2 linked regions of the Arabidopsis thaliana genome follow. The protein of the gene in region 1 interacts with the protein of each later gene in a pairwise test. Each region holds a gene or a part of one and is shown in the gene's direction. Other genes may lie near its edges.

Evidence for each region.
Region 2: the proteins of DMC1 (region 1) and AT1G04650 interact in a two-hybrid assay, tested with the Arabidopsis thaliana proteins (one study listed by BioGRID).

What each region holds. Positions count from the first base shown.
Region 1 is NC_003074.8:8,097,049-8,102,822, reverse strand, and holds DMC1 (DNA repair (Rad51) family protein), read left to right. Parts: upstream 1-1,890; 5' UTR 1,891-2,082; coding exon 2,083-2,099; intron 2,100-2,268; coding exon 2,269-2,351; intron 2,352-2,766; coding exon 2,767-2,858; intron 2,859-2,951; coding exon 2,952-3,023; intron 3,024-3,112; coding exon 3,113-3,151; intron 3,152-3,263; coding exon 3,264-3,321; intron 3,322-3,404; coding exon 3,405-3,450; intron 3,451-3,527; coding exon 3,528-3,573; intron 3,574-3,732; coding exon 3,733-3,794; intron 3,795-3,895; coding exon 3,896-3,962; intron 3,963-4,045; coding exon 4,046-4,138; intron 4,139-4,224; coding exon 4,225-4,293; intron 4,294-4,377; coding exon 4,378-4,456; intron 4,457-4,564; coding exon 4,565-4,731; coding exon of another isoform or gene 4,732-4,743; exon of another isoform or gene 4,744-4,784; intron 4,785-4,830; coding exon 4,831-4,875; 3' UTR 4,876-5,145; downstream 5,146-5,774. Other genes in the region: AT3G22870 (F-box and associated interaction domains-containing protein), read right to left, coding at 5,352-5,774. UniProt on the Arabidopsis thaliana protein: May participate in meiotic recombination, specifically in homologous strand assimilation, which is required for the resolution of meiotic double-strand breaks. Mediates interhomolog recombination during meiosis.
Region 2 is NC_003070.9:1,294,087-1,301,094, reverse strand, and holds AT1G04650 (holliday junction resolvase), read left to right. Parts: upstream 1-2,071; 5' UTR 2,072-2,191; coding exon 2,192-2,239; intron 2,240-2,531; coding exon 2,532-2,624; intron 2,625-2,838; coding exon 2,839-2,973; intron 2,974-3,011; exon of another isoform or gene 3,012-3,060; coding exon 3,061-3,150; intron 3,151-3,239; coding exon 3,240-3,389; intron 3,390-3,559; coding exon 3,560-5,154; intron 5,155-5,319; coding exon 5,320-6,202; 3' UTR 6,203-6,468; downstream 6,469-7,008. Other genes in the region: AT1G04660 (glycine-rich protein), read left to right, coding at 1-427; AT1G04645 (Plant self-incompatibility protein S1 family), read left to right, coding at 6,856-7,008.

The sequences.
Region 1 (5,774 bases):
GGAAAACTTGACTTTTATACCTCTTAACTAAACAATCGAAAACAATAACTAAATATATATCTTAACCAAACAATTAAAAAAATAAAAGAATTTAGATACGTAGTTATTAATATAGACCATTAGATTGAAAAATAAAAATTAAGATCTATGGCTGAGATTAAAGACAATAAATGGATTAATTTTTTGATGTTAAAATCTGATTAGAAAAAGGTATTTCTCTTCGTCTCTAGAACTAAATCTCTCTCTCTAAAAAAACAATCGTTTCTCCCTTTCTCCTTCCTGAAGATCGTTTTTTCATAAATCCATAGTAGTTTAAAAACGAAGCAGAGAGATGTTGAAAATCGTTTCTCATGAAATTAATCGATTATTCTCTGTGAAGTTCTTTAATCCACACAACTTTCCTCATGAACATGATAATAGTAGTAAATGGAGGTTTTTCCTATGGTTACTCTAGACGAAGGAGGATCTCCTTGTGTTGGACAGGTTTGTGATTTCTTTCCATGGATTAAAAAAATTTGATTGTTTGTTTATGATGAACGATTCTTTGGCTACGGAAGAGTGTCATGGAGTTCTGGCGAATTCTTTGGCTATGTTTGGTGATTTCGTTTTTAATCAAGTTGGGAATCAATAGGAAACAACTAAGCATACAACATAGATTAGAAGAGATATCAAGATGGATCTAATTTAAGTAAGATTTGGCGACTAATTCTAGATGATTAGGGTTATTTGTGATTTATTACAAGGCATTTGTGTTCTCATTGATTTGGCGAGTAATTCTGTATGACTAGGGTTATTTGTGTTTTCTTAAAAAGAATTTGTGTTCTTGTTGAAATCTTGTTCATTGGAATTATTTGTGTTTGGTAAATCTTCATTGGTGGCTAAGGATGTGTTTGTAGCTCTTACGGCGTTTGTTATTGGTGATGTCCATTATGGATGGCAAATTATGGATGGCACATTATGGATGATGAATCATGGATGACATATTATGGATGACGCATCATGGATTGTATATTATGGATTGATATGGTGAGATTTGTAAATCTTTTGGTCTTACATGTTAAGAGTAAAAGATGAAGAATTGGAGAAGCATGTCTAACATCCTAAAAACAAGCTATATGCGGTTGATTTGCTACAAATAATTTTTTGGTATCCATAATAACAAATCCATTTAAATATATCCATTCAGAAACCTTTCTACTGATCCGTATCCATTCTATATACCATGTCAATAATAATAGGAGATTCGATTAACCGTGTTTTGTAAAGAAACCAAAGTTCCATGTCCATAAGGTTTTGAAGGTGGAGGTCTCTGCAAACTGAAAAAAAAATCAACAAACAATTTTTTGGTGTCCATAATAACGAATCCATTTAAATATATCCATTCGGAAACCTTTTTACTGATCTATATCCATTTTATATAACATGTCCATGATAACAGGAGATTCGATTAACTGAAATCTCGATGCTACGTAGATGAAACGAGTTTGACACATGAGAGAGAGCAAAAATCAAATCAAACCGCCATTGTTGAAGAAGAAGAAGTTTCTTCTCATTTTTTACAAAGATGAAGAGAGAGAGAGGTGAAGAGAGAGAGAGAGATGAAGAGAGAGAGAGAGAGAAAGAGAGAGATGAAGAGAGAGAGAGAAAGAGAGAAAACGTGGGTTAAGATAATATTTTAGTTAAGAGGGTATTTTAGTAAAAAAACATAAAAAAGTGCCTAATCTTTTGAAAGTGCCTAAACACAGAAATAGTTTTAAAAAAGTGTTTAAGAGTGTAATATTCTCTTTTTTTCACCTAGATTCCTTCTATTGACCGTCGATAGACGGATGATAACTATGACGTGGCATTATCGCAGCCATCAAACAAAGTCATGTATAACAAAGAAGAGCACACAAACGAAAACAAATTCAGTTGCGGAACCCAAATTCAAATCAACGGAATTAGAATCACGCTTTCAATTCCGTAACCCGCCATTAAAAACCTTGAACCCTCGAAGCAAATCGAGCAAAGATTTTCAAATTTCGAATTTCAAAATTCTATCTCTCTCACTCTTCCAAGCTTAGAGACTCTTAGAGCGAGAAAATGATGGCTTCTCTTAAGTAAGTGATTGATCTCTCTCTTTCTCTCTACTACGATTCTTCTTCTTCTTCTCCATTCATCGTTTTGGTTTAAGCTTTGTCTTAAGTTTTGTGTACCTGACTCGCTTCTTCTCGTTTTTATTTTGTTTTCCGATGATCCTGATCTGTTTGTGTTGTTTCGGATTCATAGAGCTGAAGAAACGAGCCAGATGCAGCTCGTTGAGCGTGAAGAAAATGATGAAGACGAAGATCTATTTGAGATGATTGACAAATGTAAGATTTGAATTCGTTTTCAACTTTTACGATTCTTCACTTTTTCGTTTCAAATCTTCATCATCTGTTTTGGAATCGTCTCTGTGTGTTTATCTCTTCTAATTTCGCCCACTTTTGTTTATCTAAACCTCGTTGTTGCTTAATCGCTGGGTCTTATGAAATCAGATCTAGAATCGTTCATCTAATTTGAGGAATGTTCTCGCAATCTCTGTTAGATTTCGAATTTAAGTATGAATCTAGGATCGATATTGATTTCTGAACATGGTTCTCCTTGGTAACGAATAGTTTATGGTCCATTTCGTTTACTGTTTGTGGAATTCGAGTGTATATTAGTGTACATAGTTGTTTGATTTCTGTATCTGGCTAAAATCTCTAGCTGATTTGATCTCGGGACTTTTATTTTTGCTTGTGTCAGTGATCGCACAAGGTATAAACGCAGGAGATGTGAAAAAGCTACAAGAAGCTGGGATCCATACCTGCAATGGTCTCATGATGCATACCAAGAAGGTATTAACCAGCTTATTTAGCTTTGCTCATTGGGTTTATACTATGTAGATGTTGGTTGCATGAGTCGATTGTTTAAACTTATGTTTGATGCAGAACCTTACTGGAATCAAAGGTTTATCTGAGGCCAAAGTTGACAAAATCTGTGAAGCTGCTGAGAAAATTGTGGTAAGTTTAACGTTTCCATCTGTTGTTGCTATATCAGTGTTACTTTCTGCATTTGCGTCATTTTAATTGTCAAACCATTTCTCCTTCAGAACTTTGGATATATGACTGGAAGTGATGCTCTTATAAAGGTTAGACTCATTGTTGCTTGATCCCACTAACAGAACTATTAGATTTTGATATCCTATTCAACATTTCATATTAGATATTGAAACTTACAAGTTGTTTTTTAATTGTTTACAGAGGAAATCAGTTGTAAAAATCACTACAGGGTGTCAAGCTCTCGATGATCTCTTAGGAGGTATGCTAAGTTTTGCTTTAGATTTTTGCCATCTTGATCACACTACTTAAGTTCTGGTTTAATTATTTCACATTTCTTGCTAGGTGGAATTGAAACCTCAGCCATCACAGAGGCTTTTGGGGAATTTAGGTGAGAAACAGCTGAGCCAAGCTCTATAAGTTTCCTGTTAATAGCTTGTATTCTTATAGAGTTTAATTTCACTTCAGGTCTGGGAAAACCCAATTAGCACATACCCTTTGTGTCACTACGCAGGTTGGTTTCTTTCCTACAGTCTCAATATGAAATATATGTTGTCTTGTTTACATTTCAGAGGCATGAGATGAGATTTTACTTTCTTTCAGCATATAAACCATTGAGGTACTCTGTCTCTCAATGTCATTGGTATTCATTTTCTGTATTGATGTATTACAGCTACCTACAAACATGAAAGGAGGGAATGGAAAAGTGGCATACATTGACACAGAGGGAACCTTGTATCCTTAATATCTTATAACAAATCTTCTGACCAGATCTTGTGTCTTCATTAGATTGTTTCTATATTCCATGATTTTTCCTTAACCCCTAAATTTTGTAGCCGTCCTGATAGGATTGTCCCAATTGCTGAAAGATTTGGAATGGATCCAGGAGCTGTGCTTGACAATGTAAGCATTATTAACCTCACATCTTTACTTACTCTCAGGACTGTGACTGACATTCAAAAATCTTATTCATCTTGATATAACAGATCATTTATGCTCGTGCTTATACCTATGAGCATCAGTACAACTTGCTTCTTGGCCTTGCTGCAAAAATGTCTGAGGAACCATTTAGGATTCTGGTAAGTAAAACATGTCTGATAATTTTAGTTTAGTTATCCATTCAAATATGAGTTAAATTAGCTGAGTTTTCTGACCTTGTTTCCAGATTGTTGACTCGATCATTGCTTTATTCCGAGTGGATTTCACTGGAAGAGGAGAACTCGCAGACCGCCAGGTTAAACTTGCCTCCCACAACATTACTTACATTATCATTGGCACAATCTGGCTTTGCTCAATAGTCCCAGTTTCTGTGTTGCAGCAAAAACTAGCTCAGATGCTTTCCAGGCTAATCAAAATTGCAGAGGAGTTCAACGTTGCTGTCTACATGACTAACCAAGGTTTACTTTACACTAGTTTGATATAATGAGATAAAGCATCAATTCTTTTTTTGTTTCTTGGTTGCACTAACTTAGCAAGTATCATCTGTTTCATTTGGTGGTTTGCAGTCATAGCTGACCCAGGTGGTGGAATGTTCATATCAGACCCAAAAAAGCCAGCAGGTGGTCATGTACTAGCTCACGCAGCCACCATCAGGCTCTTGTTCAGGAAAGGCAAAGGCGATACACGTGTCTGCAAAGTCTACGATGCTCCGAATCTCGCTGAAGCTGAAGCCATATCCTTTTAACCAAATCCACACACACACACTTGCTTTGTTTTTGATTATTTCATATAATGCAATGACTTCATTTTTTTCCTTAACTGAAGAAATCACAGTTTCCAGATTACTCAAGGAGGCATTGCTGACGCGAAGGATTAGAGGAGCGAACTCTTTTATATGTCATAATCACGAATTATGTCTGTTCTTAACTTGCTGCTTGTTTCTGCATCGAATCAGACGTTTTAATTAAGTCTTTTTATTCTTAGTTTCTTGTTTACCAAATAAGACGATCATTACTTGATTCGGCTTACAAAACCAATCTATGTATCTGATAAAGCTGCAAACAAAACAACTCTGGTTCGTTTGTAAAAAGACAATAATGGCTTTATAACAAGTAACAAGTAAAAGTTCATTATGATCATTGATTAATCAGTTGCACTGAATAATGTGTTATTCCTCTCCAACTTATTCATCTCTATTTTAGTGGATGAAAAAACTCTTTAAATTTCTCTTTTTTATTCATCTAAGTAACGTAAAATAGAAATGAAAGGGATGAATAATTTTAATCATCTCGTTTTCTCACTTTGCCAGTTTTTTCCTGCACATCAATCGATTTCATAATTGCTGCAAAACTCTCATATTGTTTTGTCTCCTCTTTTGGGTTCCATGGCAATATGATACTTTTCAAGTTCGACAAGTCTCATCATGTTTCGCTTATATCGACGGTTTTCTGAACTGCTTTGTCTTCTCCTTTTGCATCCTGGAGGTTGCTTGATTTTCACTAAACTTGGAACATAAGGACACACATATAGCCAACTATCTTGGTGGGCAGGTTCTCCGAGATCAACATCTCGGACTTGTCCAGCCTCTCCAATGATGAAAACTTTGTCGCGTTTCAACGGTTGCCCGAAAATCACGGCGACTTTGTTCACCTCGTCAATGAAGAAACTCCCTGTACAAGAATAAATCATCGGGCAGTCACGCACACCAAAGGTCAAAAACTTGCTCCACGACACCTTATCGAATTCAATCGTAGTCGTAATCCATACCTCAACAAC
Region 2 (7,008 bases), on another chromosome or scaffold:
ATTCGCCGGAGTTGGTGGTGTTGCCGGCGTGGGAGGTCTAGGGATGCCACTCATCGGTGGTCTTGGCGGGATCGGTAAGTATGGTGGCATAGGCGGTGCAGCTGGAATCGGTGGATTTCATAGTATAGGCGGTGTTGGCGGTCTAGGCGGTGTCGGAGGAGGTGTTGGCGGTCTAGGCGGTGTTGGAGGGGGTGTTGGTGGTCTAGGTGGCGTTGGCGGTCTAGGTGGAGCTGGTTTAGGCGGTGTAGGTGGTGTTGGCGGTGGTATTGGTAAAGCCGGTGGTATTGGCGGTTTAGGTGGTCTAGGCGGAGCCGGAGGTGGTTTAGGTGGAGTTGGTGGTCTCGGTAAGGCTGGTGGTATTGGTGTTGGTGGTGGTATCGGTGGTGGACACGGCGTGGTCGGTGGTGTGATCGATCCACATCCTTAATAGAGAGTATTTGTTGGTTAGGGTTTTAATTAAGGAATAATTAATTAGTTTCGATGTTATTGTTGGTCTTTTAATTCTGTGATCATTAGGGTGACTTTTGATCTATTTTCTAGTTTGGGCTTTTGTAACGTTTGCTTTGATTTCGGCCGTGGTGTTATGAAATGTGCGACTCTCTATGTTTGAATCGTTTTGGTTTAGGAGGTTCTCTTCTTCCATACTTTTGCATGTTCAAAGACAAATTTTTAATTAAGAGGAATTATCAAGGTTTCCGACGAGATATTTTTTGAAAATGAAATTGGTTTGAACTTGTAATGATATTTAAAATATGAAAACATCACTCAAAAATGGATGGAGTACAAACTTTTTCCACTATATATACATTACATGTAAAAAGTGTATAGATTTCGTTTTTGTTGCACTGTCTAACTCTAAATAAGTCGGATATCAAAGTTAGTATATAGTAAAAAAAAAAAAAAGTTAGTATATATATCCAAGTGGTAAAACCCGTAAAATTAACATATATATATATATATATATATATATATATATGAGTTTGGTCAAGGGTTTTGAAAGATCTCGACTAAGAGAAGACATATGAGTTTTGGTTCAAAAAGTCCTTCGATAATCATTAGAAACGAATTAATATATAGTAAAATTGAGTAAAAATGTTAATCTATTAACCAAAGGTTAACTATATAGAAGATTAATATATTATAAAACTAACCAAAACATTGGATATTGGTATATCCGGATTATTTTCCTCGTTGATGATCGCAATATTGCATTCAGCCATCTACTACACACTTCCTCGTTGATGATCACAATAATGCATTCAGCCATCTACTACACACTGACACATATGATTCGTAATTTCGTATGAAATGTTTGAACTCATACTTTTAATTTACATATTTAAGATGGACGTAACAATGAACATTTGTTCAGAACTTGAGATTGTACTACCCCTATAAATAACGCCTATTTACTAATTACTATGCATGGTTCATCATGGTTGGAAATTTCTTTGCAAATGATCTAGTGTATATTAATCCAAAATATATAGGAAAAATACATTAATTGTGGGAGGAAGACAGCAAGAATCCACAAAAAGGAAGCACTAATAAATGACGTAATAATTGCGTTGGGATGAGAGGGACACAAATTAAAGAAGATAGGATTTGCATGTCAAACACTTGTTGTCCCATTTCATGCATCGTCCTCTCTATTGTCTATTTCGCTGTCACAACCTCTAAATTTACATCTCATGCAATTTATTACGACGTATACATACACCCTTCAAATTTTTATTCGTTTGCATTTGTATATATATACATATATATTAGCTAGTAAAATTAATCACAATTTATAATTTTGTAATCATTAAAAATATTGTAGTAAAAAAAGCAAAACCCAAAAAAAATAGAAAAGAAAACTGAACTGGTTGGTGTTTGTGGTATTTTTTTTAATAATTTTGTTAAGGATTTGATATGGGTTTCAATTTTAATGGTGGACCGAATTGAAAATCATCGAGTGAAAATTGAGCTACTTACAAAGCCCAATTAGATCCAACGGGCCTCAAAATATCTTTTATATTCCATTTTTTTTAATTTGTTTTTGTTTAATAAATCAAAAATTGAAAAGCGAAAGGCAGAGAAAATTTCCAATATAGGCGAAATGTAAAGAGCGGGAAGCTAAAGCCTAGAGAGAGATTCTCACACTGCCAAAACAAAATTTCCCTGTAGAGAGAGAGAGAAAGAGTGAGTGATGGAGAAGAATGCGATGAAGTTACTCGAAGAGATCAAATCTTCTGATGTAAGCTTCTCTTTGATTTCCACCTTTGATTTGATTTTCTAGGTTTCTGTATATTTTTTCCAACTAAAATCTTCTGGTGGATTTTATCGCTTCCGGTAGTCATTTCTACGAATCCTCTCTGTTAAATCGAGAAATTTCTTCTGATTGCTTTGGGTTTTGTGATGTTTCTTATCAATTTCCCTTCCGATTAAGTTTCTGCAGCTTAATGTATATATAGAGTGATTAGGATTCAGTTGAGTTCTGTAGCTCATGGATCTAACGAGCTTCGTTTTCTTCATTGTTCGCTCAACAGCTTATCGAGAATCGGGCTCAATTACTCACGCGGCTCAGTCAGTTAGATGTTGAAGAGAATTCTGATTTGCCTTCTTTTGTGGAGAGCCTAACTGTATCCCCAGTCTTTTCATCAGTTTTGCTGATTTTCAATATCTTCAGTTATACTATGTTTAAAATTGAGATGTGGATATCCATTATGTGACGGTTGGATTCAGGATAATGAAGTGACGAACTTATATCTGCTTATTTGCATGTTTCACTTGGATTCATATATGCTTTAAGTGGTTTGTTTGTTTGTTTCCAAGTATTCCTTGACAGCTGTATAGACACTCTGGGAAGATTTCACATGTCTTGACGTTTCCCTGTGTTTGTTGAACAAGGCGATTCTGCCTGTGGCTTCAAAATACCTCGCTTTGGATCGGCCTGATTGCTCACACTACTTTCTTGCTTTTGCTATTAAGGTACAATGTTTTCATTTTTATTGCTTACTGCTCAACCTCAATTTTGGAGGGGTGTTGTATTATCTTTTCTTATTCCACTTCTTCTAGGTAAGCCAATGGTGTGCCAAACATTTAAACATGTCTGTTATGTCCATGGAGGAGTCTCAAGAGGAAGAGCATTCCAACATTTTCTTTCAGGTTATTTGATGCTTTTTGGTTCTGGAAGTAGGATTCTGTCGCAGCTTATGGTTTCGAAGGGACTGAGTTATTCAATCAATGTTATGCAGCTTCTTTTGGATTATCTTCGTTTTTCTGCCTCAAGCTTTACTGCTATTGGAAAAACTTGTTTCATGACTGATGATGCCTCAGCTGTTACAGTTCATAAGTTTGTTTCAGAGCAGCTCAATTTGACAAAGGAGTTGATAATGAATTCCAAGGTATCTTTGAAAATCATCTTTATCTTTCGCTAGTAACTACACGTACCATATCATGAAACATTTTTAACATTTGTTTTGTTGAAATTACTACTGTAGGTTGAGAATCAACTTGAGATTATTGTTTTGCCTTGTTGTCATCTGTTAATAACTTTCACCTTTCTATGAGACAGAAAGTCGAATCCTTTTCCTCGGAGATTTTTAAGGCTGTGCAAGTGGTAATTGATTCTACTGTTCGTCTGTGCAAAGAATACTCTCAAACAGTGAATCGTGAGGTAAGTGAAATGAAGACGAGTGGACATGTAGGAAAGGCAAGGATGGAGGAAGGCAACGCTGTGGGTAATTTGGTGAGCATGATTACGCTGGGAGTTAAATCTCTGAGTGAATTGGGTATGCTTGCTGCAAGAGATGGTGGAAATCTTGTGGCCATTCTTAATACATCTTGGAAGGGTGTGATTACATTGCTTCAACTAGACAAGCAGACATTGGTATCTAAGGTAGATGTAGGAGAAATTATCTTAAAGCTAATATCACTGATCAAGGACTCCCTGAGATTTGCTGCTGAGGCTTGGTCTTGCTCGGTGAAGGAAAACATATCTGCAACGGAAGCCAGAAGGGTCTTTCTTCCTGTGAAATTTTATCTTATCAATGCTGTTAAAGTTGTGGCGCTGTTTCCAAGCCAGGCGTCTATGGTGTCCAAGGATATAGCACTATGCATCTTGATGATCTCTGCTTTCAAAGTTTCACTGAGCCAACAAACTCATGGAAAATCCGCAAGTGAAGTAATGACTGATCTTCTGGAGAAAACAACTGTAGATCTTCTAGGTGCACTGTTAAATGCAGCTGAACTAACACAGGAATTCAGGCTCACACTTCTTGATTCATTGTTCGTTGATGAATTCTCAAACCAAATCTGTAAGAAGCAGAGCCATGATTCTCACACAAAAACATCATTGGTGGATATCTTGTCTTTATCTGTTGAATCTGCGACAAGTGCTAGAGATTTGCTCCTGGCCCGAGTTGTATTGTTCCAGTCTGTCATGAGGTATTCTTTCGAGCTTGACAAAGATGCAAAGCTTGCAATCACCACAAAGCTGCAATGGCTTCTCGACATATTAGCAGACAAAGAGGTTTACTCTTCAGTTCTTTCCTCTCAGCTACCAATGGCAGATGGTTCTGGGAAGATAGTAATCTGGGAATCAATGTATTCAGCTCTGCTTCTGTCTCTCAAAACCCTTATGATCATACTCTCTTCAACTCCTGCCTGGGAAGAGCTTGAAACATTCCTACTTCAGAATCTCTTGCATCCTCACTTCTTGTGTTGGCAGATAGTCATGGAACTCTGGTGCTTCTGGGTTCGTCATGCCACTGACGATTTGGTGGTCGATATGATTAATCAACTTTGTACATTCATTATGTCAATGCCATCATCAGAAACACCTCTTTGTCCAGATTCCGTTCTCAGAAGAACTACAAAGTCCATCTGCTTTCTTCTTACCCATAGCCCCAAATCTTTAACAGTTCAAGTTTACAAACATATTTCTACTGAGAGCAGATCTGACCATGCACCTGATGTATATCTAGCATTGCTGTTAGACGGGTTTCCACTGAATTTTCTTCCAGACAGAATAAAAAACGACGCAAAGAGACAGATATTTGCAGATTTCTTCAACTTCATCGAGAAATTCGATGAGAAACCGTCAAATTCCTCCAGATACACTCTGCTTGGAGCTCCAGTTTTCACAGTATCTGCTTGCCTTCGGATACTGTAAGTAATGATAATATATCTATTCTTGAGACTTCTCTGGGGATTTTATTACACGAGATAGCAAAAGTCAGATAATAGTAACTGAAAATAGTGTGAGCGAAAGGGTACATTTTCAATTTTTGTGTTGTGGATATTATTGACTGTTGTTGTTTTTCTTCCGTGTAGAAAGATGAGCATATCAGAGATTGATGCCAAAACTCTGAACTTTGTCGTCGCTCTCATTCAAAAGTACAGAAACTCCAAAGATGAAACGACGAAGGAACGTTACAGTGAGATTCTCAGCGAAACATTATCTATCATCTCAAGAAGCGAACAGCTATACACTTGCCAAGAGATGGATAATGTCATAACAGAGCTTCAAAAGCTATTCAATTCAGAAACTAATCATCATCATAATCATCTTCGTAAGTCCAAGCCAAACCTTGCTCTCTTCTTGTCAGGACTCAGCAAATACGAGATGTCTGAAACCAAAAAGTGTCCAAAGAGCATTGCGGTTTGGGAACTCTACCATATGCTTCTCAGGAAACGCCACTGGGCTTTGGTACACCACGCGGTTACTGCGTTTGGATACTTCTGTGCACGTACAAGCTGTAATCAGCTATGGAGATTCGTACCTGAAGACGCGGCTCTAGCCTTCGATATAGCTTCTGGAAAAGAAGCGAAAACAGAGCGGTTCATGTCGGAATTAAAGATGTTTTTGGAGAAAGAACAAGCGCTTCTTTCAATCACACCTTCAGAAGAAGAACTGGAGTTACTTTCGAAAGAAGGCACCGAGGTTAAGGCAACAGTGCAGAAGCTTCTAGAAGGAAGAAGCCAGAGGTCAATGGAAGTAGAGAAACGACCGAACAAGAAAAGGAAACTTCCAGAAGGAATTTGCAGAGGAATGGAGTTATTGCAGAATGGAGTGAAGAGGATTAACGAGGGTTTAAACGAATTGAGGTCAGATGAAAATGAGAGTGAAGAGTTTCAAAAGAGTTTATCGAATCAGTTTTCGTGTCTTGAAGATTTGGTCTCTCATTTGTTAAGCCTCACCGCAGCTTCGGACTAAAGTATCTTCAGTGGCTATCTATCACACACTGTTAAAAGACTTTTATGCTAACAGATGTTTGGGATTAAAGATGTTCTTTAAGAAAGAACAAAGCGCTTCTCTCAAATACACTTTCACAAGAGGAACTTGACAAACTTTCCTCTTATAACATGATAAAAAGTTGAAATAGTAGCGGATTTACCTCTTACCACCGAAATTTTTGAACAAACGAGGTTAAGTTGTCGACAACGGACTATAAGATTTTTGGGGCCAAAGGCTTAATTATTTTCTCAAGGTAACATTAAAATATTTTAAAAACATTATTGTAAAAATATTAATAAAATTGGGACTTCTTTGTAATATATTTTGCTTAATTTCATCAGAAAATGTGGGGCCAAAGCCCATGTTTTTTTGGACGATCAATTTCGCATAATCCATTAAGATTTAATATTATTATTTTATTTTTTTTGTCTGGGTCAAAACCACACTAAATTCTCATTTTACTGATTTGGATGTTTGTTTGGTCACATGACTTTTACACTGATTTCTTTGTTTGTTTGGTCAATAGTCAATGGGATAGTTACTATGTGAAGAAACCGTCGAGCCCTTGGAATACTATAAAATCAACTCCAAGAGCAACCTGAAAAGCCACATTCATAAATACAAACATCAAAATGGAAAAAGTTTCTATTGTTTGCTTCTTCTTCTTTCTTTTATTTGGTTCGGGTTATGGGGGCCTCCCACCGTTCTGGCGCGCTACGGTTGTCACGATGACAAACTTGATTGGCGGTCCACCTCTTACCATACATTGCAAATCCAAGCAAGAC